Linked DNA regions of Canis lupus familiaris. The protein of the gene in region 1 interacts with the protein of each later gene in a pairwise test. Links are inferred from orthologs where the notes say so. Each region holds a gene or a part of one and is shown on either strand. Other genes may lie near its edges.

Region 1 (10,784 bases):
GACAGACGGCTCCAGCAGGGCCCAGGCTCCAGAAAGCCCAACAGCAGACACGAATCCTCTTCGCCCATCCCAAACACTTCCCCTCAGGAACTCCCTTTAACCAGAGCCTGAGAGTCTGGGCGCAGGGCAGGGGGCGCACGGCCAGGCCCCTCCTAAAAGCGGCTCCTGTACATTCACGTCTCAGTCCTGGACTGACTCCAGGGCCCTGCTCAGCCCCGTCTACGCTGGGTGTCACAAGCACCAGGCGGGCGCTTCCTCCAGACTTTCTCAAGCCAGATGTGCTACTTGGCAGCAAGTGCCCCAGGCCCCTGGTAGACAAGCAGAGGCCTCTGCAGCACCCACCAGGGGTCCCCAAGCCATGCCTCCCCCACCCCCCACGGATGCCAGCTCTCTTGCCTCCTCTCCGGGAAGCCCGAGATGCTCTAACGACTTGCAGCATTCATCTCTACAAAGACACCCTGGGCTCCTCTGCCCGGGGGTACTGTGTCACCCAGATCCTGTCCCCCTCGGGGGAGCGATGGCCTTGGAGCAGAGACCCCCTCCCAGTGCAGCTGGCTGAGAGGGGTCGACATAGCAGAGGGGCTTCAGCCCAAGGGCCCAGCCTCTGCCTCGTCCCCTCGCTGGTCGCCCGGGACAGCCATGCTGGGCTCAGCCCACATGCACTGACCACCCCCGGGACAGCAGCCCTGGGTGCCCCGGCAGGGGCTGCGCATGCACACGGCCTCATGCAGTCGCTCTGCTCCGCATCCGCTGCAGGCAGGTGGGCTTCAGGCAGGAGCCCCCGGCAGAGAGCAGCCCAGAGGCTTGGCTCACTGGGCTGGGCAGCAGCGCGTCACCAGGAGCGCCCAGGCTCCCTGTTCCCTGGCCCCGCTTCCTCCTTCCCGTCACGCGCTCCAGAAAGGCTCCGGAGAGGAAGCTAAGGATCGAAGCCCTCTGGGGCCTTGCCGCCGGGCACATCCTCTGGGCTCACGGGAGGGGCGCAGACCCTCGTTCCCGAGGGTGGCCCTGCCCTGAGTACCCCCAGAAGGAGGTGGCTGGGGGACGCATCCCCTGCGGGACCTGGAGGCAAGAGCTGGGGTGGACGGCTGGCTGGGGCGGCCTCTGCCCTGACCAAGCCGAAGCACGAGGCACCAGCACAAAACCAGGCCCCAGAGCTCCGTCTGGGGAGCCCGGGGATGGCACCACCCCAGCTGCAGGTGGCTCCGTGCACCCTAAACCTGCACCACCCTCAGCTCAAGCTGGTCCACCCTCAGATCCTGGGGCCCGGTCCACCGGCCCTCAGGGGTTCTGGCTAAGGTCACAGCTGGGTGGGCGGGAGCTGCTGGCCTGAGGCTCCTGGGAGGAGCAGGCCGGCTTCACACGTGTGGGAAGAGATGAGGGGCCTCATACAAAAAACCAACAGGACGTTCGGGGAGGGGGTGCTGAGGCTCCCCTGTCCTGGGGCTCACAGGGCACACATGCACACGTCGGACCCAGCACAGACCACCAGCTCCATGCGAGTGACGGGGAGCAGCACAGGGCAGGTCCCTGGGGGCAGGGGGGGCCAGGCCGGGGGTGCACAGTGCAGGGTGTCTTTCTCCCCGGGAGTCCCCCACTCAGGCTCCAGACCCCACAGCAGCCCTGAGGCTCCCTCTGGGTGCTCAAGGTCACTCTGAGCAGGGCTCGTGAGGCACAAGTGGGGAGAGACAGCAGAGAGCACAAGACTCTGTCCAGAGGGGTCTCCTGACCCCTAGAGTCTAGGGGGTCAGGGGTCAGGACCGAGGATCCGTGTGATGCACGTGGGGGGAGGCAGGACTCAGGGGTCACCTAGCCTGGCCCCTCCTTTAGCATAGCGGGGGCTGCCTCCTGTTCTCCAAGTGGGACCTGTCCAGGGCGGGAGCGGGGGCTCCCGGGGCCTAGGGGGTGGCTCTGGAGGCCCGGCCGGCAGCTGCGTGCAGCGAGGGGGCTGCATGCCGCCAGGCGGGACCCTGGTCACGAACATCTACCTTGTTCCACCAGCCCCATGGTGGTGCCGGAGGCCGCGGTGGACATTGTGGCCGGAGCGGTGGTCTGTCTGCCCACTGTTAGCACCGGGTTAGAGACGAGGGAGGGGCGGACACAGACGGGGCGGGCAGGGGAGGGAGGAGGAGAGACAAAGGAAGCAGAAGAAGATTAGAGTCCACAGTCGGTGGCGGATGGCTCCAGAGTCCCGTTCCCGGGAGAGTGGGAACAGGACCCAGACTGAGTGACAGGTGAAAAGCATCTGCCTCCTTTCTCCTTAGAAAACCCCAGCGGGGGCTTCTCGCGCCCAGGATGGGACCCATCGTGCTGGAGTGACACACACCCCCCGTTCCCGGCACCACAGGATCACAGCAAAGGTCACAGGACGGGGTGCTGGATACAGACGCACAGGGACGGACCCCAGACGCTCCCGCACCCAATGACGCGGGCGACAGACAACCACAGGACAGCCAGTGGGCCACCTGCCCCTCAGGTGACGCCGTGCCCACACGGGGCCGCCAGGGCCCCTGGCCTCGGGGTCGCTGACAGACGCCCCTGAGCAGCCGCACGCCACAACCCGCCCCCGCCCCCCCCCCCCCCCCCCACCCCCCTGGCCTCGGTGCCCCAGGCGGGCAGCCACCAGCGAGTCCGGAGCTCAGTGGAGAGGTCCCGGGTCCTCCTCTCTCTCCCCCACACAGAACGGGTGCTCAGAGGGCTCAGGACAACAAGGCCACGGAGGTGCCGACAGACACACAGAGCTGCGGCCCAGGCGGCGGGCAGCTCACACATGAGGGCGTCAGGCGAGGATACAGACACCCAACACGCAGGGACGGGGGTGAGTGCCAGGTCAGGGTGGGGGCGCCCCGGAGCCTAGGCCCTGTGGCCCCGGGAGAGCAGGAGGCCAGGCCGCTGAGCGGCAGGCAGATGGGCGGGGAGATGGGGTGAGGGAAGGCGGGCGGCTGGCACTGGTGCCCTCGGAAGCCTGCTTTTCCAGGAGAAGACCATTCTCACCTGAGAAATTTCTCGTGGCCAGCATGGTGGTGAGGATCGCGCCCTGGGGAGAAACAGGCAGCTGAGGCCTGGCCACCCCGGCCCCGACCTCAGCCTGGGGGCGCCTGGCAGGACTCAGGCCCCTGCCTCGCAGACCAGTCTGCAGACTCAGCAGCTGCAGGGGACTGGCCGCCTGCTTCCAGAGTTGACAAAGCGGTGGCCGGTGGACCACAGCTTCTAGAGGGCTCCAGGACCCCAGGGCTCCTCCCACTGGCCCCCTGACAGCCTTCTCCTCCCCACCCACCAGGCTGGTCCCCTAGCTCAGCCTGCAGGGGGTCAGGGCCGCCCACTCACTCACCCTGAAGTGAGCGGCAGTGACCCGGGGCACCTGCCTGTGCACAGCCCTGGGTGCATGGAACCCTGTTGCGGGGAACCCCGAGGAAACCCCCAGCCTGCAGGCTGGTGCCACGCTCTCCAGGGTCACTGCCATGTGGGGCCCAGGATAGGGCCAAGATCGCTGGGACCGCTGTGCCTCCCCTCACTAAGCCTGCCAGGACCCCTGGGGCCGCTCCCAGTCCAGGACCCTTAAGGGCACAGTCACCTGGGCGGTGGGCACTTGGGAGCTGCATCTCACCTTGAGCTTCCTCCGGGCATTGAACTTTTTCAAGCACTCCACAGTCTCCTGTCTGTGCATCATAGAAGCCACGGTGGAGCGTTGCTGTGGGGACAGAGGCCGTTTGGATGCGGGTCAGGGAGAGGGCTGGGGCAGCAGGGCTGGGGCATCCAAGCCACCCATCCCACCTGCTGCCCAGCCCCCACCCCTTAAAATCTGCCCCCACCTCACCCTCACCCTCCCGGCCTTCCTGACAGCCGTGTTCCCCAGCCAGGCCCTCTCGTCCACCTGGACATCTCGTCCGCCTGGACATCCCGTCCCCTCATACACAGCCCCCACCTTCCCAGACACTGAGCCCTCACAAACCCCCCAGTGTGTCCCCGGCCACAGGCCGTGCAGTACTCAGGAGACCAGGGAGGCCGGTCAGCTGTGCAGAGGAGACCCCAGGGTCACCATGCTGGGTGCACTTACGCAGACCCATGGGTGCTTCAGTGCTTCGTGTGCTGTGATGCGCTTGGCGGGGTTGATGGTCAGCATCTGGTTGATGAGGTTTTTGGCTTCAGGAGTAACGGTGTCCCACTCGGGGGAGGGAAACTAGAATAGAAGGCAACCCACGAGTGTTTCTGAAGCCCTCTCCCCAGGCGGGAGCCAGATTCTCCGAGTGGTCTACATCAGGGTCCTGGTTCTGGGAAGAGGAGCTTCCCCCTGGACGGGGAGGGGTCCGAAGGGGTCCCAGCACTCACATCATAGGCTCCTGCCTTGATCTGCTGGTAGAGCTTGTGCTGGTCCTCATCCCAGAAGGGTGGGTAGCCCACCAGCAGGATGTATAGGATCACCCCTGGGGGGAACAGAGCATGGACCTCACGGGGCTGCCCCACCCCACCTCAGCCCCCAACTCCCTGAGCCCATCCTCAGGCCTCCCCTGCAGCCCCCACCCCACCCCACCCCAGGTCCCCACTCCCTGGGCCCCCTCCACTGCCTCCACCCCCACCCCACTCCAGCCCCCCACTCCCTGGGCACCCCCTGCAGCTCCATCCTCATTTCACCCCACTCCCCACTCCACTCCACTCCCTACTCCCTGGACCCCCCACAGCCTCCACTCCCACCCCATCCCATCCCCCCACTCCCTGAGCCCTTCCCCAGGCCTCCCCTGTAGCCCCCACCCCACCCCACCCTGGGCCTGCACTCCCTGGGCCCCCTCTGCTGCCTCCACCCCACCCCACCCCAGCCCCCCACTCCTTGGGCACCCCCCTGTAGCCTCCATCCCCACTCCACCCCACTCCCCGGGCCCCTTACAGCCCTCACCCCACCCCAGCGCCCCACTCCCTGGACCCCCCACAGCCTCCATTCCTACCCCACCCCAGCCCCCCACTCCCTGGGCCCCCTCCACTGCCTCCACCCCCACCCTACCCCAGCCCCCCACTCCCTGGGCACCCTCCTGCAGCCTCCATCCCCACCCCCTGGGCCCTCCGCAGCCCCCACCCCATCTCAGCCCCCCATTCCCTGAGCCCTCCCTGGGCCCCTTGCAGCCCCCACCCATGCCCCACCCCACCCAACACCCCACCCCCTGAACCACCCATAGCCTCCATTCCCTGAGCCCCCTGCGGCCCCCACCCACGCCTCATGCTCAACCCTGTGCCCTGGGAACACGAGCGTCCATCCAGGGTTCAGCTGTGCCTGGGACCCCCACCAAGGAGGCAGCCCTGCCACCGCCTGCATAGCCCCCACCCCTTAAGCACCCTGTGCTGCCCCTGGCCCAGCCCTCTCTTCTGGGCGGTGGGCTTCTCTGCCACAGCCAGGGTCGCGGTGGCAATTCTAATCTGTGCGGGCAGGGGCTCCAGGCCGGGTGCAGCCCCAGGAGTCAGCACTGCTGGTGGGCTACCCACCCTTCTGGACATCCCGTCCCCTCGCACACAGCCCCCACCTTCCCAGACACTGAGCCCTCGCAAACCCCCCAGTGTGTCTCCAGCCATGGGCCGTGCAGGGGTTGGCCTGGCCCAGCACCAGTGGTCCAGGCCCCCATGGCCCCTGCGGCCCCACGCCGCCCCTACAGGGGTCTCACCGCATGCCCAGATGTCCACCGGCTTGCCGTAGGCCTCCTTGCGCAGGACCTCCGGGGACAGGTAGCCCGGTGTGCCTGCGAACCCTGGGGGCAGGGGAAGGGCGGGGTGAGGGCCCCATCAGCCTCTGAGCCCCGTCCTCCCTCCTCCCCCTGCGGCCAGCGGGATGCTCACCAAACCATGCCTGCTGATCGCCCTGCACCTCGATGGCCAGGCCGAAGTCCGCCAGCTTCACGGCCGCCCCTTTGCACTTGCTGGCCAGGAGCAGGTTCTCGGGCTGCGGGGAAGGTGACCCACCAGTGGGTGTGTGGTTCACACCCGGGGTGTCACGGAGGGCAGGGGACACAGTAGACAGGACTGCGGTTTGCAGGCCGGGGTGCATGGGTCTGACCCCCTGCTGTGTGAGTGCTGCCCTGGCCAACACCTTGGGGCACCCCCTCAGCACCCTGGGGGCCTCTGGGGCACAGAGGAACCGGCTCACACCTCAGGGTGCAGCAACCAGACCTTAGTGCACCCGACAAGCCCTGGCAGGCGATGCCCCCACCCCATGTTCCACGTCTGGGTGCTCAGAGACACAGTGAGGGGCTGCCGGAGGAGCGGGACCCCCAGAGAGTAAGGAGGAAGGAGGCGGCTTGGAGCATCTGCCCCCACGTCCCTCTGGCTCGGGCCCATCCAGCACCCTCTGCCTCAGGGAGCAGCTGAAGGACACTCGTCCCCTGTCCCACGGCAGCACCAAGGAGACTGCGGCCCCCAACGGGGGACACGTGGCCCCGAGGGCCCAGAGTGTCCCTCTACCCCGTGTCCTGTACGCAGGGCCCCTCCCGCCCCGGCCTGGCCGCCTGTGGCAGTCGGCGGCGTGGAGCACTCGGAGCTCACGGCCTCTGGGCTCCGTTGTCTCTGGCCACAGGGGGGCTCCCAGGGCCCCCTCCCCTCCCCTCTCCTTCCCCCCATCTGGCAGGCCCACTGAGACCACACTGCCATGTCAGCTCCCCAAGAAAGGCAAACACTGCCCCAAAAAAGCTGAGTTCACACTGCTGGGTGCCCTGACAACAGTCCCTGGAGCCTGGGAAGGAGGCCGGACCCATGGCAGAAAGTGGGTCCTCCCCTGGCCCCTTGGCCCCACAAGCTGGCTGGACAGCTCTGTCGCCCATGTGACATGTGGCCTTGCCCGCCCAGAACAGCTCAGAAGGCCCTGGACATCCTCACTTTGCCCATGTGAGCAGGGCTGGGGGGACCCTGCCTCCCCATCACCTGCACCGAGGGATCTGAGTGGCAGGCGGGGGCTTCAGCAGCCCAGAGGCACCAAGGCAGCACCAAGGGATGGGCTGGGTCCCCACCCCAGCTCCACACCCCTCCGCCCCCACACCTTGCTGCGAGCAAGTCCACCACAGTACCACCTCTGGGGCTCCGTCCCCACAGGGGACAGGGGTCCTCTCCAGAAGAGGAGAGGCCGTCTGGCCTCCACAGCAGGCAGGAGACGGAGAGCCCATGCGTCCTGCCCTTCTGCTCTTTTCAGCAAGGGTTGTTTACCCCCGGGTCACACCTGGGCCAGAGGGAGCACCCATCTTCATTCCTATGCCGTGGCCTCAGGGTGAGCTACGACTCATAGGGTCCAGGAACCAGGTGGGAACGCATGCCTCCAAGTGACGCTGCTTCAAACAATATGGTGACAGACCGTGAAGCCCCAAGGGCAGACAAGGCGGGCTTAAGGCGCAGGCAGAGGGATGCAGGACCACGTGGGGTGTGCAGAGAGAGACGTGAAGGGCATAGGAGGGGGTGCTGGGCCCACTCCCGGTGGGATGTCGTCCCCAGAGCAGCCCCGCCAGGATGAGCTCACACACACACACACACACACACACACACACACACACACACACACCCCTTGGTGGCCCAAGGCATGGCCCCAATTAGCGTGAGCACCAGAGTGCCTGTGGGAAGGCTGGTCTCAAATGCCACCTGGGGACTCTCAGAGGGAATGATAGCTCCCTCACACCCTAGAGAAAAAGCTGGCAGGAGCCCAGCCTTAGAGACACGAGGAGGCGGGGAAGGCAGAGGGGGCGCTGTTCCTCCTGAGGCCACACTGTGCCCTGGGGGGTGACAAACTGTTTTGCCCAGAGCTGAGCCAGGGGCAGCAGACACTTCCAGAATGGGCTGGACACTGGCAGCGACCACCAGGGCTGGCCCTGAGCTCACCCCTACGCCCTTGGCATCAGCCCCACCTGTGCACACATCACCTGTGTGCCCCCCTGCCAGGTCTGTGTCCCACCTGGAGCGCGGAATGACACCCCAGGTGACATGTGCTAATAGGCTAATTTTTGACCACTGCCTCTCAGTCCTGAAGCCTGGAGGCATCTGGAGGGACGTGCGCACACACACACACACACACACACACGTGTGCACGTGCATTCTCACATGCGTGTACACACATGCACACACAAGTACACACCTGCGCACATTCTCACACATCTGCATGCACCTTCTTGCACCCCCACACACAAGCTCATGCACACTCACACGCAGCAGCTCCTGGCACTCCCACTGCCCCTCCAGGGCCTCCTTTTTCGAGACATGCAGGTACGGACGACAGACACCTGGCAGAGCAGGGCGGGGGACTCACCTTGAGATCCCTGTGGACGACCCCCATTTGGTGGCAATGGAGAACCGCCTCCAGGATCTGCTGGATGCAGTGACTGCAGCAAACAGCAGGCGTGTTAGTGAGGGTGGCCTCGAGGGGCAGGGGGGCAGGGTGCAGGCATGGGGTGCTGTGTGGCACTGGGGTTGTGGGGAAGCAGGGGATCAAGATGCAGCCTGCCATATGGGAGAGGAGACACCGGCCAGAAGAGAGTCTCCAGAACCCTTCCTCACCCCCACGGGCTGGCAGAGGGCACAGCCAGCCCCCTGCACCCCTGCCCAGCCGTCTCCTCTGACCCAGTAAGCGACACTTAGAGGAAACACCTGTGGTCCCCGTGCACCCTCCCCAGGCTCACACCGACTGCGCCCAAAGCTGGGCCAGGCGCCCTCCGAGAGGGGGCTAGGGCTGAGCCCACACCCTGCCAGGCAGGCTGGCACCACGCAGCAGGGTGGCACCCGAGCACCAGGACCACACTCTGTTCTGGGGCAGCTGCTGGAGCGTTAACAGCCCCAAACGTCCACACTGACTGCTGGCTGCTGTGCTGGGCCGCCCGGGGCTCTGAGCCAGGGAGCAGTCTGGGGCCTTCTGGGCGGGAGGGAGAGGTGGGGGCCACTCTCAGGCACCTCGGACACCTGTGCATGAGCAACATCACCCGAGCACAGACCCTGACACCCGCCCCACTACACACACCAGCTTCTGGCCTGAGCCCACCTCCCCCAGATGGCCCAAGGGGTGCACATAGTTTCCAGCTGCCCCAGAGCCAGCCACAGGCCGCCGGGAGCCCTGGACCTGCCTGGGACCATATTCACAGCCCTGGACCTGCCCGGGCCACAGTTGCATCCCCTTTTGGTGGCGGTGGGGGGTGCAGACTGCTTCAGGACCCCTCCTGCCATAGCTAGACCCTGCGAGGTGATGGCCAGTCAGCTGTGGCGTGGGCTTCGTTTTCCTAATGGCGCACTCCAGGCGGGGTGAGGGACCAGACCGGTTCCTCAGATAGCTCTGGCCACACCTGGGGACCATCGCCTGCTGCCTGAAAAAGGAGACCTGTTTCCTCCCTGCAGCGGCCAGAGCCTAGCGACCTGCTGATTGATGATTCCTGAGCTTTGTGGAGGTCAGGAAACAACCCCTGATACCACCCTCCCATGTCCTGAATCTCCTGCCCTCGTGTCCTAGGGTCTCCTGTCCCATGTCCTGGCCTAACTTGCCCTCAAAGCCTTTCCTGCTCACATGACTCCCACAAAGTACTCAGTCCCCGGGGATCCTCATCTGTGTCCCGGTGGCACCAGGCCCACATCCAGCCACTGCCAGCCCCCGTTCTACAGGCACAGGCTCGGCCCCTGTGGGCTGATCCCTCACAGCAAGCTCACCATGGGGGTGGGGGGTTGGAGGTGGAGGGAACCCACTCCACGGGGCAAAGCTCTTTGGAGGCCCCCTGCTAAGGCCAGGCAGGCCACTGGGTACAGCGGAGACAGGGTGACACCCCCAGCACTGGCCACTGAGGTCGCTGAGCCAGGGCCCGGGGTGGGAAACACCTTCTTGGCCTCCAGAGACCGGCCGCTCACAGCCGACCCGGAGCCCTGGGCCATCAGATCCCTGAGGCCACCCGCACGCAGCTTCTGCCCGGAGCGAGGGGAGCCCAGGCGGACCAGCGCCTTCCTGGGCTGCGACGGCTCTGCCCCGGCAAGCACCCAGCTGTACACCCTGCAGGCCCTTCCCGGCACCGCGGCCTCTCCGCCCCGGGCAGGTGTGGCCTGGACCTCCGGCTGCTCCCGCCAGCCCTGGGGTGACCTGGCTTCCGGGCAGACCTGCTGAGCCCGCGGCACATCCTGCTTCACCTCCAGGTCACGCACATCCCGCCTTCACCCGGAGACCATCCCGTGGCGGGGACAGCGCCCTCTGCACGCCCCATGTTGGCCGTGCCCACAGCAGTCCCACGGCAGCCGCGGGCTCGGGGTGGGTGTCCCTGCACTGGCCCGCGGCCTCCGTGGCAGTGGACAGGTGGCTCTCTGCTCCCAATTCTGTCTCTGCCCCACCCAGCAGCAAGACGTTCTGAGACTGTTTGTTGGACCCACGGGTCCATGTGCTGCGGGACAGACTAGTAACGTGGGCTCCGGGCGGGTGGGCTGCACCCTGCCCTCCCCATCCCTCCTGGGAGTGCCGGGCCCAGACACGCACCAGACACACGAGGCCAGCAGAGGGGCTGCATCTCTGCGACAGCATTGCAGGACTTGGCTGTGCCTGTGACTCTGAGGACCTGCTCCAAAAGCTTCACAGCCACCCCGGTGGAGAAATGGGCTGGTTTCCCCCCCGCCGCCCGGAATGAATGGGCCGAGCACACTATGGGCAGCCCTGCCCTGGGGGGGCCCCTGGGGCCCAGACCACCGGCCCTCATCCCCACTCCAATCTGAGCCCACAACCTTGGTGCCATTATCCCCATGGGACCTTTCTTGGGGGGGTCAGAGTTATTCCCAAGAGAGCTGCAGACACTGGCTGGGTCCTGGTCCCAGAC
Region 2 (9,617 bases), on another chromosome or scaffold:
CTGGGATATGTTAAGATCCTTGCTTCTTAACCTTGAAGCAAAGAGAAGACAAGTATCAAGACGTTCTTTTTTACAATTTTTGAGGGGAAGAAAAGTTACTCCTGATTACTTAGGCTGTGCCCCTGTTCTTCTCATTTTAGTCAACTTCTGAAGTTAACACCGAAAACCACAGGCGAACTGTTCACATAAATTAACTGAAAATGCTCCAACACTCTACCTGCCTGCCGTGTGTCTGTAGTGGGCCACGTGCCAGTTTTGAACAGCCTGATTGTCAATGGTCTCTGCCCTCTTGAGTTATAAATTTCAATCAAGATTCTTTTATGACTTTGGGGTAGGCAGCACTCTGCAATGTGTGCCGTGGGCCTGAGTCCCTCCCTCCCTATCTAGGTGGCTCCTGATACAGTTAGTACTCACTCGATTGGAGTTTGGACTAGTTTATTGGCTTTCAAAGTGTGATGATCCCTGCATCAGCAGGATCAACCTCATCTGGAAACCTGGCTGGAAATGAAAACAGGAGCTTATGCCTGCCGAGACACACTAAATAAGAAACTAGAAGAAGGGCCCAGCAATACCTGTTTTAACCTCCAGGTGATTCTGACAGGTAGTCAAGTTTAAAAACCTCTGGCTAGGATACTCCTAAAGGCTTCTTCTCAAACAGTCAAAATCCATTGTTACGAAGTCAAATATGCCTTCTGGAACTAGCACCATGTTCAATCAAATGCACTTAATGATTCCTAGTAGTCTGAGTAAAAGATCACAATAAGAAACACCACATTGTTAGGAATTTGCTACATTTTCACAAGGACAGCATTTCATATAGCAAGCTTTTCCCAATTAAGCGGACAGTGTGACAAGTGTTTGATAGCATTTTAACTAACAGTGGTGATCTCTAAATTAAATCTTTGTCTCCTTTGTAAGAAGGCAGCTCATTCCAGCTATCGTGGAAAGTAAATATGTACTTTTTGTGACATTTTGCATCTATTTCTCAAGGCCAGCTGCCGCGAGCAGGGTTCTTTCACTTTCCCACCCTACCTGTGAGAAATACTGGACTTTGGCTCGAGAGATGCAATTACATGCTGGTGAAATCATTTATGAAACTACCAGAACAGGCCAAAGAAATGAAGCATTTTAGGACCGCCTCCAGCAGAAAAGGTTAACCAATCGGGAAGAGCGAAGCCTCTAGACTTCTAAAGAACTCTAACCCCAAAACGGATCTGATCCTAAAACGGGATTCAGGGAGGTCTATTTCTCCAGTTAACGACCTAGAAATTGTTCTTGCTTAAGAACCGCAACTCCCAAACATGACAATGGTAAGACTTCCAACAATGACACCTTCCATTTTTCTGAGGCTCTTACCAAAGGAGGACAAAAATCATCCTTTGAATAGACCGAAAGCTTGGATAACAGGGACCAAAAGGAAAAGCTGTTAAACGAACAGCAGGGGTCAAGTTTAAAAGTTAGCTTTTGCTCTCCCAGCTCAAGGCTCCTTTCCCACCCAGTTTCCAATGGGGCAGGTGAGGCCTGCCTTACAGCCTATTCCCTCGCTTCCTTGGACACTCTCAGGTCAACCCAGCTTTTTTCATGGAAACAAATGCTTGTCTTTTCACACCATACTCCATACTCCAGGGGGCTCTTACTAGCCCAATAAACTGAGTAGTCTTTAAGAACAATGCCCCCGATATCTGTCAATTTTGTCAAGAAAATAATGGAGAAAGCTACAAAACCCAGAACTACTACGTCCCTGCTCCAGGCACACACGCAAAATTGCTTTTCATGGAGAATCCAGAAAGCATTTATCTTACAGTACTCAGTGAAAGCATATTAAAGTCTGCCCTGGCATCTCACACCTATAAAGTATTAGTCATGCAAGTGACTAAATGCTGTGTGAAGATGATTAATGCACCCAGCAACCTAGTCCATGTCCAATTTGCCGTTTTCAAATTCTCCGTTTCAGGAGTATATACATGTCTTAAGTTAGTTAGATATTTTGGCAGCACTTTATGTCAAAGGCTTAAAAAAAAAAAAAAAAAAACCAACAAAGCCATAACTCAACAGTCACCAAATGCCTTAAAAAAAAAAAAAAAGTCCTTCACATAGAACCTGGTAGAGGTCTTCAGAATCTTCAACACTTTGAATCTACCAAAGAACTGAATTCATTCAAATGCAAGGCAATATTTGCAAAGACATAAATTTGAGTTATTTCTTAATTTCTCTATTTCTCACGTACATACTGCCTTCCAAATGAGTGATTCTAACCTTATGTAAGATCAAGAATGAAAAAAAAAAAAAAAAGCCATAGGACCATCACAGGCAAATTCTCTCTTTCTCCACCACGCTGGAATATTGAGTGACAGGTCACATGGGCCAAGGACACATTTTTAAGGCAAGATGTTAATACAGCTTTAAAGACGCCTGTGGCCTGTAACTTCTTTTGGCTTCCCCCACAGATGACTTCACCTCCACTTCACACAGCTAAGGTGTATCGTGTGCTCTTGATATACAGTCATATAGTTTCTTTTATTCTACACAGAGGTTATATTAGTAAAGTGGCCCTTAAGTAAAATAAAATACAATACGAAGCTCACACTGCCTCCTACTGTTAGAAGGAAAATTTCATGAGGTCAAAATGGTCCACAAATTGCAGTTTAATGGGAGTAAGGGGTCTATCTTATTTTTTCCTTTCTCTTCTTTTTTTTTAATATAATGACCTATTTTCAAACCAAAACCTCAAGTATTAAGACAGGGTCTGCAACCCACACAAATGCACTGCAGAAAACCCTACTAGGAATGACTTCAGAATTGGAAATCATGTTCCTCAAACATGTTTTTGACTTTGTATGTGATGTAATTAAACAAAAACATTAATAAAAAAAAAAAAGAGGAAGAAGAAAGAAAGACAGAAAGCAAGAAAGAAAAAGAAAAGTTAAAAGCACTACCCTGCCTGGTCAGGTGACTGGTGACTTCACCAAATCTAAGGCAGTATTAGGAGTTGGTTTCTCCCCTTCCCTACCCACAGTGAGGTAAACTGCTCCCTGTCAGCAGAACAGATTCAAAATCCTGCTTATCTTGTAGTCAAATGGTAATGGCCATACCCTCAGGGCTTCTTAGACCTTTAAGATTTTTTCCATATTTACGGGAGTTGGAAGTAATGTCACCCAACTTGTCACTGAGGTATTTCTGCTGGGAGCATCATGCACCTGCTGCCCCTATCCACCTCAGCCTCGATACTGTATTAAATCACTGAATATGAAACACAGAAACACAAACAATAGTTTTGGATTTGTTTCTTTAAAAATGACATCTGTATTAAAAGTCTTAAAATGGAGAGACAATGATTAAACGCGTGTCTGGAATTAAAAATTACAATTAGTGAGAATTCTCTTGGTACATCACAACAGGAAAATTTTGTTCTTTGCTTCTGGAGGAACACCCTAGAACAGATAACCCCAAAAAATTTTTAAAAATAATACAAAGGGGAGCTAAATACCTGAACATTTGAACAAAATGAAGCCAGATAAAAAAGAAAGAAAGAAGGGCAAAAAAAGAAAAAAAACAAAAAAACAAAACAAAACAAAATAAAAAAACAAAAAAACAAAACAAAAAAAAACAACCAAAACCATTGCAAGACATGGAAATTACATTTTAAGGGCTGGAAATAATAAAGAAATTCACCAAACAACAGGCCCTATTGTCCTGGCTCCTTCAGGAAGATTACAGAAAGGAAACTAGGAAGTGGTTTGGGGAATAGCAGATTCTGGGTTATGGTGGGAAGTTCACAGGTTGGCACCGGCTGGAACAGCTGAGTTTTGAAGGCACTCTGCAGACACAGGGGTGCTGGGGCCCTGAATCACATTTTTGAAGTCTTTGTACTGTATTTTAAAGAGCTAGTCATCAAAACCTGTCACTGCCAACCAAAAAGAAAAGCTAAACTTAAAAAAAAAAAAAACAAAAAACAAAAAGAAACCCAAAGAAACACACACACACACACACACACACACACAGTACACACAAAAATGTGCAGATCTGTAACATTTTTTTTTCACAGCTGATAAAAAAAAAAAAAAAATACTACCGTTCTCCCCCAGACTCCCCTTTGATACAGTAGGTAAACAAAATAGATTTTTTTTTTTTCCACAAATATCAGCAGACACTTTCTGGCACCCCACACTGCATTGGCATCAGTGTTTACAGTCCCAGTTCAGATGTGCATACTTCAGATTGGATACACTGTAACAAGAATCCAACTTTGCATAGACATCCTTAGAATCACAATCAGTCACAGGGTTGCCCTTCCAAGCTGGCAGAAAAGGAACCCGATCTTTAATTTCCAGCTCCTCCTGGAAAAAAAAAAAAAAAAAAAAAAAAGGAAAGAAAAAAAAATAAAAAAATAAAAAATAAAAAAAGCCAACACAAAAGTTTCTTCCCTTCCTCCTGTCCTGCTCCTTCATTTGGTTCTCCCGGACTTCCTTCCATGTGGAACTACAAAAAGGGGTGGTTGGAGGCAAAAGAAAAAAAATAAAAATAAAAAAAAAAAAAGGAAAAATTGCCCCCTCCCTTTCTACCTCCCCACCCCATTTATTTATTTATTTTTATTTATTTTCTTTTTCTTTTTTTTTTTTTTTTGCAGGCTGAAACTTTGGCCCGTGTCGAGCTGCCCACACAGCGCCCTAACGGCTCCTTACGCGGGGAGTGGGGTGGAAAAATCCGCGTCTCCCGGGGTCCACGAGCAGCGTGCATGCAGCAGGAGCCGCACCGCCCCCGGGGCTGCACCGGGGCTGCACCGGGGCTGCACCGGGGCTCGGAGGGGGAGGTCAGCGGAGGTCGGCGGAGGTCGGCGGAGGTCAGCGGAGGTCGGCGGGGGTCGGGAGCCGGGCGGTGCAGCCCAGCCGGGCCCCCGGCACCCCCGCCCCCGCCCCGGGGCCGAGGCACAGCGGCCCCCGAGGTCGGCGCGGGCGCAGCGCATCCCCCCCGCGGGGGCGGGCGCGGGGGCGGGCGCGGGGGCGCGGGGCTCCCGCGCGCGGGCGGCTCAGAGGATCACGCAGGCCGAGCAGCAGCCCTCGTCGCCGTTGGGCTGCGCCGCGTAGTTCATCTGCCGCACGATCTCCGCGAACAGCTCGTCCACCGAGGCTTTGTTTTTGGCCGACGTCTCCATGAAGGGGCAGCTCCACTCCTCGGCCAGGGCCTTGCCCTCGCCGTACGACACCTCGCGCTCGCCCTCCAGGTCCACCTTGTTGCCCACCAGGATCATGGGCACGCGCTCGTACCGCTTGACGCGGATGATCTGGTCCCGCATGGGCTTGATGTCCTGGAAGCTCTGCTGGTTGACCAGGCTGTAGACGAGGATGAAGCCCTGGCCGTTCTTGATGTACAGGTCCCGCATGGACGCGAACTGCTCGGTGCCCGCCGTGTCCAGGATCTCGAGCACCGACGGCGACGAGTCCACCTCGATCTCCTTGCGGTAGAAGTCCTCGATGGTGGGGTCGTACTTCTCGATGAAGGAGCCGGTCACGAACTGCACGGTGAGCGCCGACTTGCCCACGCCGCCCGAGCCCAGCACCACCACCTTGTACTCTCTCATGGCTCCGCCGGCGCCCTCGCCGCGCCCGCCGCGGCCCCGTCGGGGGTGCGCGCCGCGGGGCGCCTGGGCTCGTCGGCTGCACGACCTGCCCCCGGGCTCAGCCTGGCGGCGGCGGCGGCGGCGCGGCGGCGACGGCGGCGGCGCGGGAGGACAATGCCGGCGGCCCGGGCGGCGGGAGGCGGCGGCGGCGGCGGCGGCGGCGGGCTGCCGGGGGGGCTGCTGCTACGTGCGCGCCGGCCCGGGCCGCGCGTGGCATGGGGCCCCGCAGACCGTGCGCCCACCGCCGCGGCCCAGCGCGCTCTCCCCGCAGCCTCCGCGGGGCGACGGCTTCCTACTCGCCGCGCGCAGCCCGGCCCTCCCCGCCCCGGCGAGCATGCCCAGTGCGCCGACGGCCTCGCCCGCGCCAGCCGCCGCGCCGGGTTTTCCGGGGGGCCGGGCAAGGGGGCGGGGCCGCGCGCGGGGGGGGCGGGGCCGGGGCGGGGCCTCCCCAGGAGCGGCCTGCGAGAGGCTCGGGGTCGGCACGGGGGGCGGGGCCTCGCGCGGGGGCGGGGCTTGGGCCGCGCTGGGGGCGGGGCGAGGGCGGGGCCTCCCCGGGAGCGGCCTGCGAGGGGCTCGGGGCTGGGCGCGAGGGGCGGGGCCTCGCGCGGGGGGCGGGGCCGGGGCCTCCCGGGGAGCGGCCTGCGAGGAGCTCGGGGGCGGGGCCGCGCGGGGGGCGTGTCCGGGGGCGGGGCCTCCCGGGCCGTGCGAGGGGCCCAGGGCCGGGCGCGGGGTGAGCAGCGCGCGTGGGTGTGCACGGGGGCGGCTTGGTGCAGCGGGGCGGTGGCGCCGCGGCGTGGGCTGCGCGCTCGGCCGCTCCCGTTGTCCCGGGCGCCGGGAGACCCCGAGGGCGTGGGAGCGGCGCGCGGGGCACCTGTGCCCCCTCCCACGGCGCGGGCCCCGACACGCTCCCGGCCCCCCACTCCCGTCGTCCCGCACAAAGGGGCCCGCGGGGGCTCCGGCCGGCACAGGGGAGCCTCCCGGAAGCGCGGAGGCCGGGCCGACCCCCAGCCGCACGGCCGCGGCGCCGGCAGCGAGCCCGGGCATGCTCAGTGGGCGGAACAGGTTTTCGGGCTTAGAAATAGGAAGCTGGGGCCCGCGCAGCCACCGCGCGGCTCACATTACCTCTCCCGGCCTCGGGCCCCATTGGCCCCGCCGCGCCCGTCTCGCCGCCCCGGCCGGGGCCCCATTGGCTGCCGCCGAGGCTCCCGCACTTGCGGCCGCTTCATTGGCGGAAAAGTAGCCTCGGCTCGCGATTGGCGCCTGCGGAGCTCGAGCGGGGGGCGGAGGCGCAGCTGTTCTTTCCCCGCTGCTCCCCGCCCCCCCCTCCCGCTTCCCCCGACCTAGTCGTTCTGGGAGCCCGGGGTGCAAAAAAAGAAGAGGAATTAAGGCGGAGAGCTCGGCGCTAAATATAGTGCCCCGCTGGCGCTGCGGGGCGAGCCTGGCTGCGCAGCGCCCGGAGGCCGCGGGCGCCCTGCTCCCCCCGCTGGGCCCGGGCTCCTGCGGAGTTTGCAAAGTGTGCGGCTGGGCGGGAAGTGGGGGGACGGGGGCGTGCAAGGGGGCCGCCCGGACTGCGTGCGCCGCCCGCTCCGGGTCCCGGGGCGGGGGCGGGGGCGGGGATGCCCAGGCTTGTCCTCCTGCAGACGTCTGGGTTTGGGGGCGGGCCGCCTGCACGTCGGGCTGGGCTCGCGGCCGCGGGAGGGGCGGGGGCGCTGCCTCGACCTGCCCCAGCCTCCCTGCCTCCTCGCCCGGGGCCGGGACCCGGGACCTGTCGGGGGGCCCGCGTGTGCACGAGCCCCGGAGCCGGGGGTGCGGGGGTGGGTAGGGGGGCACGAGCTGCGTCAACCCCCCCAGCTCCGAGTCTGCACTTTTTTTTTTTTTTTTTTTTTGGTTTTGCAAGCCGAGGCTACTCGCGCTCGGCGTGCGCTTCGGACGAGACGCGCCCGGCTGCGTGGCGAGCGCTGGGTTTGGGCCCCGGGTCCGGCCACGTTCGCGGGCTGACCTGCCCCGAGCCGCGGAGGCGCAGCCCCAAGTCCCCACCGGCCCCGGCGGGACGTGGGTGCAGCCGCCGCCTGGGGGGTGGGGAGGGGAGCGGGGTGCTGGGGGGTGCCGGGGGGTGCCCGCCCCGCCCTCACGGTGGAGCGCAGACAACGTGTTTTAACCTTGACTATCAGAGAGCCCGCCTCGAACTCTGTGCTTATGTAATCCTCCAGGAAAAAAAAAAAAAAAGAAGAAAAAAGCAAAGAGCACCCCACCTGTCAGAGGCACACCCACCTCCTGCAGCAGAGGAGAAGCCCCGCAGCACTGACCAGCGCTGAATGTCTGCAGAAGGTCCCGCACGGCTCCTCCGCGCCGCCTCACAGGCCTTGTTACACCTGTTTTAAAGAGGAAGCAACTGAGGTCCTGGGATGTTGGGTGACTTGCCTGCGATTTCCCAGCGGGTGAGTGGCCGGGCTAGGACCCCGGCCTCCCTGTTGGGCTGCAGAAGCTGGCGTGTGCCTCTCGGGGCCCTACTGCCTCCTCTCGGGGAAGTCCCCAGGTTGTACTCTTGCTTAGGGTCAGCCTTGGGGCCTGAGGTCAGACTGTCTCCACCCCAAGCGAGAGGGACCTCTGCCCACCGCCCCGGGGTTCTCCCCTGGTGATGCACCCTCCCGCAGGGTCAAGGAAGCTGAACCTGCTTCTAGGCCAGGCTCCAGGGAGTCAGAATTCTGGAATCCTCTGCCCAAATAGGACTTGCTTGGAATTTTGAACTCAGTCCTGTGTCCAGGGATGGCTGTTTGTTGGGCTGAGGTGTGCACTCCCAGGTGCTGTGGGCTCCCAGTGGGTGCAGGAAGGGTCCTCCATGGAGTCAGCTTTGCTTCCCTTCCCCTTTCCAGCCTCCTCCTTGGAAGAGTCCCGAATTCCTGATTCACACCATGCAGGTCCTTGTAAGGAGGTATTTGTCAGGGTGAGAGGACACATGGATCCTATTTTGTTAACAGTTTGCTATCTTGATTTATAACTTAAGTATTTAGAGTAATGCTATGTGGGCCTCTCTTTGTCCTCTTGCCCACAAATACTAGGAAGGGTCCTGAGTCTGACATAATAGAAAATACTTTGTCCTTACAGGTCTGGTGTCTCGTCTCAAGAACTGGATATCAGTTATTATCTGAGACCTTGGGCGAGTCCCTTGAGCTCTCTTGACTCCAGTTTCCCCGTCTATAAAATGGTGATAATAAAATTTGCCCTATGTACCTAGCTACATGAGGAACCTTGGAGAGAATCTAGTGACCAAACCCCTCATTTTGCATCAGAGAGAAGGGAGCAAAATTAGAACCCTGGTGTCCTGGCTGCACTTTACATGGTGCCAGCCTGTCCTCAGGGAAAATAATTGACAGATAATGGATGGAAACATGCTTTTAAAGCTGCAGAGCCCCATGAATGCATGGCAGTTACTACTCTGACCCAGGTAGCCTCACAGCCTGGTCTAGAAGATTCCCTCCTCAGGACCTCAGGTCGTCACGTGGATCGGTATTACCGAATCTTGGTACCAGTACCAGAAAGATGCCACAGTGTGAACACTGTCTATTAGGGATTCTTCGGTAGTAGTGTTTATTATGTTCAGGTGCTCTCTCACAGACAGATTTGCACTAGGACTTTGGGATTCAAAATGAAGTAAAGAAACTGATGACACATATATTTTTAGGATTGGCCACTTCCTCCTGTGAAATCTGTTAGGTGTCTTTACCTCACTTAGGGCATGAATCATTATCTGTCCTCTACTGTAATTATTGACACGTCTATGTCTTGTCACCCAGCACCTTGGGAATGCCTTGAGGGCAGAGGCCATATCTGGCTTATCTTTGGAGCCATCTCTGACCCTCATAACACCTAGTACAGTGCCTCCGCGGGAGGCCCTCCATAAATATTTATTGATGAAACTAGGAAGTACATTTTATTCCTTTTCCAAATTCCACTTGTAGTAGAAGATTATATTAATCCATGGTGAGACATACCACTTCCT

The links.
Region 2: the proteins of CAMK2B (region 1) and RAP2B interact in binary tests that used the Homo sapiens proteins (3 or more experiments, as listed by UniProt). The two-hybrid records come from large-scale screens. The link is inferred for Canis lupus familiaris from reciprocal best matches to the Homo sapiens genes CAMK2B and RAP2B.

Annotation. Positions count from the first base shown.
Region 1 is NC_049237.1:14,307,194-14,317,977, reverse strand, and holds part of CAMK2B (calcium/calmodulin-dependent protein kinase type II subunit beta), read right to left. Parts: intron 8,334-10,784; coding exon 8,261-8,333; intron 5,921-8,260; coding exon 5,818-5,920; intron 5,730-5,817; coding exon 5,646-5,729; intron 4,422-5,645; coding exon 4,327-4,421; intron 4,178-4,326; coding exon 4,055-4,177; intron 3,689-4,054; coding exon 3,605-3,688; intron 3,035-3,604; coding exon 2,992-3,034; intron 2,061-2,991; coding exon 1,986-2,060; intron 1-1,985. UniProt on the Homo sapiens protein: Calcium/calmodulin-dependent protein kinase that functions autonomously after Ca(2+)/calmodulin-binding and autophosphorylation, and is involved in dendritic spine and synapse formation, neuronal plasticity and regulation of sarcoplasmic reticulum Ca(2+) transport in skeletal muscle.
Region 2 is NC_049244.1:48,050,649-48,060,265, reverse strand, and holds RAP2B (ras-related protein Rap-2b), read right to left. Parts: upstream 5,629-9,617; 5' UTR 5,579-5,628; coding exon 5,027-5,578; 3' UTR 5,023-5,026; intron 4,988-5,022; 3' UTR 4,936-4,987; downstream 1-4,935. Other genes in the region: serine/arginine repetitive matrix protein 1-like, read left to right, coding at 5,833-6,014, 6,391-6,679, 6,858-7,132, 7,828-8,055, 8,723-8,852. UniProt on the Homo sapiens protein: Small GTP-binding protein which cycles between a GDP-bound inactive and a GTP-bound active form. Involved in EGFR and CHRM3 signaling pathways through stimulation of PLCE1.